Xenopus tropicalis: one gene and its partner. The protein of the gene in region 1 purifies or fractionates together with the protein of each later gene. This does not show direct contact. Links are inferred from orthologs where the notes say so. Each region holds a gene or a part of one and is shown on either strand. Other genes may lie near its edges.

Region 1 (3,756 bases):
TGTAACTGTATAAAATATACGTTATACTAATTTTCCCTTGCCTTCAAATGTCAATCCACTTTACGGTATTTGTTACAGATGGATGATCAGAGATACTGTGCTATTATTGTGACCACTTTTAATAAAGATTTAAAAAAAAAAAAACACCCTCATTTGTATAGTAAATTTGTTGTATGTTGTGAACATGGCATAGTGTTTTAAGCATCATTTCCAAAAAGCATAGTAGAAGCTACTAGCAATAGTAATATTTCTTGGCAAACTCATTAAAGAAGCACAAATTGTAACATGTAAAGATGCTTCCCTTTATTTTTTAGGAGGTAGAAATATTTGTCCTTGGTACTACGCGCCCATTTAACATCCTTTTAGAATCTGCCGCTAATTTCTCTTCCTACCAATTATGAGCCCGCACCCACCTTACACACCCCTTTTCAACCCAGGCTTTACCTGGTGAGAGATTGAGAAGGGACAGAACCTACCACCATAACAGACATCAGAGATGACTGACTAGAGTTGGAAGAGGACCACGATTATTTTTCACAAAATACCTTAAAGGAACAGTAACACCAAAAAATGAAAGAGCTTTAAAGTAATAAAAATGTAATGCACTGTTGCCCTGCCCTGGTAAAACTGGTGTGTTTGCTACAGTAACACTACTATAATTTATATAAATAAGCTGCTGTGTAGCCCCGGGGGCAGCCATTCAAGCTGGAAAAAAGGAGAAAAGGCACAGGTTACATAGCAGATAACAGATAAGTTCTGTAGAATACAATAGTGCTTTATCTGTTATCTGCTATGTGCCTTTTCTCCTTTGAATGGCTGCCTCCATGGCTACATAGCAGCTTATTTATATAAACTATAGTAGACTTTCTGAAGTAAACACACAACTTTTACCAGTGCAGGGCAGCAGCACATTATATTTGAGTTACTTTTATACACTTTCATTTTTTGGTGTTACTGTTCCTTTAACAGCATACTTAGGGCATTACAGGAAAGTTTTGGGCCATGCTTGGTCCTCTTATGAGCTTGATAAAGGGCTAAACATTGCCTGAAACAATGCTGTCACTTCCCAAGTGCAATAAAAACATTTAATCTGAAGAATAATTAATTTGCTGCTTCAACTCAAGTCACTTGTGTACCAGTGGCCATTGGAGAACGTGCACTGATTTGAAGTACTAACCATTTGTTATTTGCTATCCATTTGAGATGCCATCAGAAGGGGCAAGTTCCAGAAACATTATTTCACCAGCAATAAGGTAAGTGTACAGTGTACAAATGAAAAGTTGTGTGAGTTGCTGATGTTCAAAGATACTCACACAATTTGTGACAGTCCATTTTCCAGCCCACAAGCAGCACTTTGATGTATCGGCTTTTATTTTGCGTCAATGCATTTCATTTCCATTAGTCCCTGACCCAGTGGAGCTCACAATCTGTTTCTATGTGAAAGACCTCCTAGGATAGAGAACCTGAAAGCCACTATTCCAACATGGAATAAGGGACTGAATAATGTGTCAAGTCAGCGAGGGATACAATGAGTTCGATTATCCATTTTGCTTCTATCGCATATGAACAGTACATAATGTACAACTTTTGCCCATTAGGTAGGGGTTGAACTACAATGTAAGAGTCGCGACCTAATGTAGAAAGTTGCGATTCAAACAAAGTTGAGAGTTAGCAATTTAACCACGAGTATAAATAACTATTTTTTAGCTTTCCAGCCCTGTAATACAACTACGTACACGGTAAATATAACGTAACATAGACAAAATCGGAAATCATCTGAAGTTTATAAAGAAAGCACATTTTGAGGGCACTCCATCCCGCTACCTTAATGCCGCCTGGCAATGGAAGCGGCAGCGACACACGCGAGGCCTGACAAGCACATTCCCGCCCCCGGAAGCTGCCATGTCTCTCACCTGCCCGTCCAGCTGGTTCTGGCTTTGCCCTTGTGTCTGTGTCTGGCTAGGCAGCGTGAAGTCTGTGAACTCAAACTCTGAGCCCTGAGTGTCGGCCCCGAGCAGCTCGGCCTCCTCCGTATCCAAGAAAGTGAGGGTCTGCGAGCTGGGCCCGTACGCCTCCACGCTCATTGTGACGGCCGAGGAAACAGGAAAGCGATTAATTTTTTAATCCCTACACAGCTTTAATGGAGTCCCCAAAGGCTTCGATGCCACCACGAAGCGCTTATCTAATAGACACGAAACACGGGTAAAAAGAAAAAAATATGAACTGCCTCCGACCGAGCTCCCTCCGTCCTGGATGACGTCAGTCGTAGCCGCACAGGAAGGAACGCGCTTGCGCGCCAACGTGACGTAATCACGTTGGGACGACAGCAGTAGCTATTAGTTGCTATTGACAACAGGGCTGGTGTCAGTTATTTGTTGTTCAATAGTAAGATTCTCGGGCAGTAAGACGCGCTATCAATATGTAATTGGGTTATATCGGAAGAGGGAACGGTAGTATAGACGGCAGAGGCAGAACTTGTTTTTAATCTGGGCGGAGACGAGTGACGTAACAGACACGTCGGCACCTACTAAGCTAGGCTGATATCAAAATGAGTTTAGCAATTAAACGAGCAAAGAGATGCAAATGTTAGCGCCAGCGGAAGAGATTGTCCTATATGCGTGCGATAGTACTTATTAGTTTTGTGTAGCGATACTAATTTTCTGCATTTATTTATCGGGGCCGGGCCCTGTTGGTTCCTGTCATGCAGCATAGGCATGATAATTATGGCGTCTTCAGTTCGGGAGAAAGAAACTTGAACACCTCCGACAGGGTTACCTGGTTTTGAACGAAATAAATTAGGTGTTTACTTGGAAAATCAGAAAACACCATATCTTCGTATGAGAGTTGTCTGACATTTGCAGGAATTGGTACAACTTAAAAAAAATCTAAAATGTGCAGTCCTTTCACTGATCTGAGCAAAAACTGCTGCAGTATTGAGTGAGCTTCCTTATGTAGAAATATGTTGGTACTAGTTATTCTTATTGCACTGGGGGATTCCCTGTGCCAAGAGGCGAATGCACATGTTGCAGATAGGTTTGTAGTGGCGCAATAGTTTCCTGCGAGAAGGCAGCCTTGTGAAATATTGGACTGTAGTCTTCACAATACAGTGGCTAATAAGTGATAATATATCATTGCAGGGGTGCTAAGCAGTGGGCATAATCAACTACAGAGGCCTGGCCACTAGGAATAATGGATTGTGCCATCTGTCCAGATGACCATAATGGAGGATGGAAAGTTGGTATCTTTACACAGTGACGAGAAAGGACTGTAGAGGGGTTGCCCAGTAGCAGCTGCTAAGCATTTGACTGTAGGAGACTGCCTTTGGGTAATGCGATCAGCAAGCCCCTAGTAAAATATATTTTTTATTTTACACATACAGTGGACTTTTTGTGCTTTATATCAGTTCATGCAGGAATAACTATAAATTGTTGTTTATTTCTGAGACTGAGCGGTCGATTTTTATCATTCCTTGATCATTTTACCCAGTAGTAAAAATAATTACTGCTCAATAAAAAAAAAACTCCAAGGGTTTTAGATTAAACACTTTTCTGTTCTGGAACCATTTATTCGTAAATTAAAAATAATTGTTTTCTTCCACCTGCCTTCCATGTGCAATTTCTAGGACTGCTTAAAATCAGTACATAGAAACACCATTAGTTGTGTGAAGTAACTTCCCAAAAGTAGTTTGGAGGTCCATGTTCTCAAGGTCCTGAAACACGGGAGGTTGGTATTTGAAAGGATCCCATGAAGAATGAA
Region 2 (3,493 bases), on another chromosome or scaffold:
CATAGCAGCATAAATAATAAAGTTGTAAGCTCACAGAGCAAGAGTTTTTAGCTTCTGGCAAATTATTAAATTATTTGATTACACCAATATACATGCGCACTGTGTTGGGTCCAATTTGGGTATAACTCCTAAGGGAAAACAAAAAATTGTTAATTTGTGGGAATAACAATATTATGTTGTCAGTTCATCCAAAAATTGCCAATGAACTTAAATATTCTGCTGTGCTGTGGTTGTTTTAAAATATGTTTTAATATCTGCTGATCTAATAAGGTTTTATTTTCCCTTTTGTGTATGTTAAGATCCAGAATACAAAAAGTTTCTTGACTCTTACACTTTGGATGAAGAGAAACTAACATCAACTCCAGAGACATTGCTAGAAGAAATAGAGGCAAAGAATAAAGAAATGATAGGTAAAATGACAATATATTGTGCAAGCCTAGAAGTCCTGGTTTCTGACCAAATTGGGCCTATTTTCAATATGTATCCTTCTGAATATTACTTGAAACATTGAGCTTGACCTTACAAAAACTAAACAAGAATGGACATGTATGTAGTTTGGTGTCCAATTTTGTGTATTTTGCATTTTGAATTGCGTCCTTAAATATCGATTCTTGATAGAAAATGTATATTTCTTTTTTTTTTTCTAGCAAAGAAGACTACACCTCTGTTAAGTTTCTTAAAAAACAGACAGGTATACCTTTTCTATGGGATTTTATTTGCTGTAGCTATAAATAACTATAAATGTGCTCAGAGCAGAGCTATAGTGTAAGGATGCACAAGGCACCTGACCATCATCATTCACCCACAATTTTTGTTCTCCCAGACCATTACCATAGTCTCCCTCACTAGTTTCCCTCTTTGATCCTTGTTCCGGCCCTGTATTTATCCCATGTTTGTGTAGACATCCTGACTTAGTAATTTATATCTAGGTATTAAATGCAACTTTAACTTGTTTCATGTGCTTCAGCTCACCAGGCTCTCACTTAGAACTATGTAAACATTCTTGTATCTCAAAGTACTTTGCTTATCCTTTGATTTATCTTGTTTTCCATTAAATCACTTTTTGTTACTTTACTGTATCTGCAGTACTTGTGGACTATACCTGACCAGACCATACTTTGGTCTAGGAGCATACATACATTTTTGAATAGAAAGAGAATTAACATCACCAAATTAAAGGCATAGTTTACAAGCAATAATGCATAAAATAATGCTTGCTTGGGTTCACCGCCACTGAAGGAGCATGGAAGTTTGAGCTTACAGTATTAAAACAAAATTTAGGCTTAGAGGCATGTAGTGCAGTGAGATTTTGTTAAGGATGCCATGTTGTAAGTGACTTGTTAGAAATTGGTATTATGGTGGCTGATGGTTTTAATGCCTTTTTTCCCCATACTGCTGTCTTCTTCCAGAGACTTAGAGATGAAAAACGTGAAGAAAGGAGAAGGCGAGAACTGGAACGAAAAAGACTGCGAGAAGAAGAAAGGAGAAAGTGGAAAGAGGATGAAAGAAGAAAAAAGAAAGAAGCAGAAAAGCAAAAGAAATATGAAAAACCTTCAGAGAAAGAGCTGGAACAGTCAAAGGATGAGCCAAAAATTAAGGTATTACTGCCCTCAAAATAGTAAAAAAATAAAACTTTTAGGCTTATAGGTATCTGCTGACAAAACTTTGAAATTTGGCATATAAACGCTGTAACCAAAATAATTGAAATTAATTGTAGCAATGAAGTCACTGTGTAGAACATGACATTTCAAATTACTTCTTTGGGAAACAAAGAATCCACTCAAGCCTTGATGACATTTGTAAGCAAGACTTAAAAGTGAATTTCTCTCTCATTTTGAGAACACTGGCTTAAGGGGGGTCCTATATAAAAAAGTGTTACTAAGAGCTGTCCTTGGATCTTGTCATATGAAGGTGGCTTGATATGCCCAATATGATATAACATTTTCCCATACTTTGCCAAGTAACAAAGTACAGGTATAGGACCCGTTATCCAGAATGCTCAGGACCTAGGGTGTTCCGGATAAGGAATAGTTTGGATCTTCATACCTTAAGTCTACTAAAAAATCAATAAAACATTAATTAAACCCAATAGGATATTTTTGCTTGTACTGCTTTATTACTACAGAGAAAAAGGAAATCAGTTGTGAAATTCTGAATTATTTGATTAAAATAGGGATGGGCTTTCCGTAATTTAGAGCTTTCTGGATAATGGGCTTCCAGATAAGGGATCCCATACCTGTACATGAATAGCACTTGAGTGGCTACTGTTCCTTGTGCAGAAAACAGTTACATAATCAGAAATGGTTTCTTAATTAAACTTATGCAGTAATTTTGCACATTCTCAAGTACATGAAACCCATTTTTATTTGGTACAGCTTCTTAAAAAACCTGAGAAAGAAGAAGAGAGAGATACAGACAAAAAGTTTAAGACAAGAAAATTTGAAAAAGAGAATATTAAGGAAGACCGATGCGCTACAGGAAAGAAATCGGATGGTGAAGTCGGGGAGGAGAAAACAAAAAAGTATTTAGGATTCTTTTGCTTAAGTAAAATTTGGGTAATTTTTTTTCTTTACAGGAGGAGTAGTTCTACAGTGCCTCCCTTTTAATCTTTACTTCTTTATAAATCTGCTATTTATTGTGCTATACATCCCTATAATACAGAAATCTATTGTGAATGTAGTTCCAAGACTGGCCTGTAACTTAGCATTCTGTTTGTACTTTTTTATTAAGATCCAATTGTTTTGTGCTTGTATCCTTTCACTGGGAGGTTGAATGCTACTGCAAAAGATGCACTAAGAAATGGCAGTCATAAAAAATAACATCCTCTGGCCAGGAACTTGTTGCCAAGACCAGCTAGTAAAGTGGAAGCTACTTTAGTATATAATCTAGAGCAGGGATCCCCAATGTTTTTTAACTTGCGAGGCAAACTTAGATGTAAAAAAGTGTTGGCGAGCCACACAAGCATGAAAAAAGTTCCTTGAGGATGCAAAATAAGGGCTGTAAATTGCTATTTGGTAGTCCCAACAGGCAACAAATCTATCTGTGTGCCATAGGCTTAAGTATGTATGTATATATGTCAGGGCTTTGCTGGGATCTCCAATAACATTTTTGGGGATTTAGATTAAATAAGAATATATCATTGCAGTAAATCTTTTAAAATGTTACCTGCCTTTTCATTTTAGGGTTGAAGTGGAATATGTAAAGGATTACAGGGATAAAGATTACAGAGATAAAGACTACCGGGAAAAAGATTATAGAGAGAAAGATTATAGGGATAAGGACTACAGAGACAAAGACTATCGCGATAAGGAATACAGAGACAAAGATTACAGAGATAAGGAATACAGAGACAAAGACTATCGTGAAAAGGACTACAGGGATAAGGAATACGACAGAGAGAGGCGACAAAGAGATAAGGAGAAATCAAGATATCATGAGGATGATCGCCGTAAGCCTAGAGATCGATACGAGAAAGACAGGTGTTTCAGGCGGA

Evidence for each region. Proteins that work in one complex are often made in the same cells at the same time.
Region 2: the proteins of upf1 (region 1) and upf3b purify together in Homo sapiens (co-immunoprecipitation; 16 studies listed by BioGRID and IntAct, with this or other methods). This does not show direct contact. The link is inferred for Xenopus tropicalis from reciprocal best matches to the Homo sapiens genes UPF1 and UPF3B.

What each region holds. Positions count from the first base shown.
Region 1 is NC_030677.2:98,881,739-98,885,494, forward strand, and holds the start of upf1 (regulator of nonsense transcripts 1), read right to left. Parts: upstream 2,341-3,756; 5' UTR 2,085-2,340; coding exon 1,914-2,084; intron 1-1,913. UniProt on the Homo sapiens protein: RNA-dependent helicase required for nonsense-mediated decay (NMD) of aberrant mRNAs containing premature stop codons and modulates the expression level of normal mRNAs.
Region 2 is NC_030684.2:59,729,636-59,733,128, forward strand, and holds part of upf3b (regulator of nonsense transcripts 3B), read left to right. Parts: intron 1-299; coding exon 300-410; intron 411-647; coding exon 648-691; intron 692-1,409; coding exon 1,410-1,598; intron 1,599-2,375; coding exon 2,376-2,521; intron 2,522-3,182; coding exon 3,183-3,493. UniProt on the Homo sapiens protein: Involved in nonsense-mediated decay (NMD) of mRNAs containing premature stop codons by associating with the nuclear exon junction complex (EJC) and serving as link between the EJC core and NMD machinery.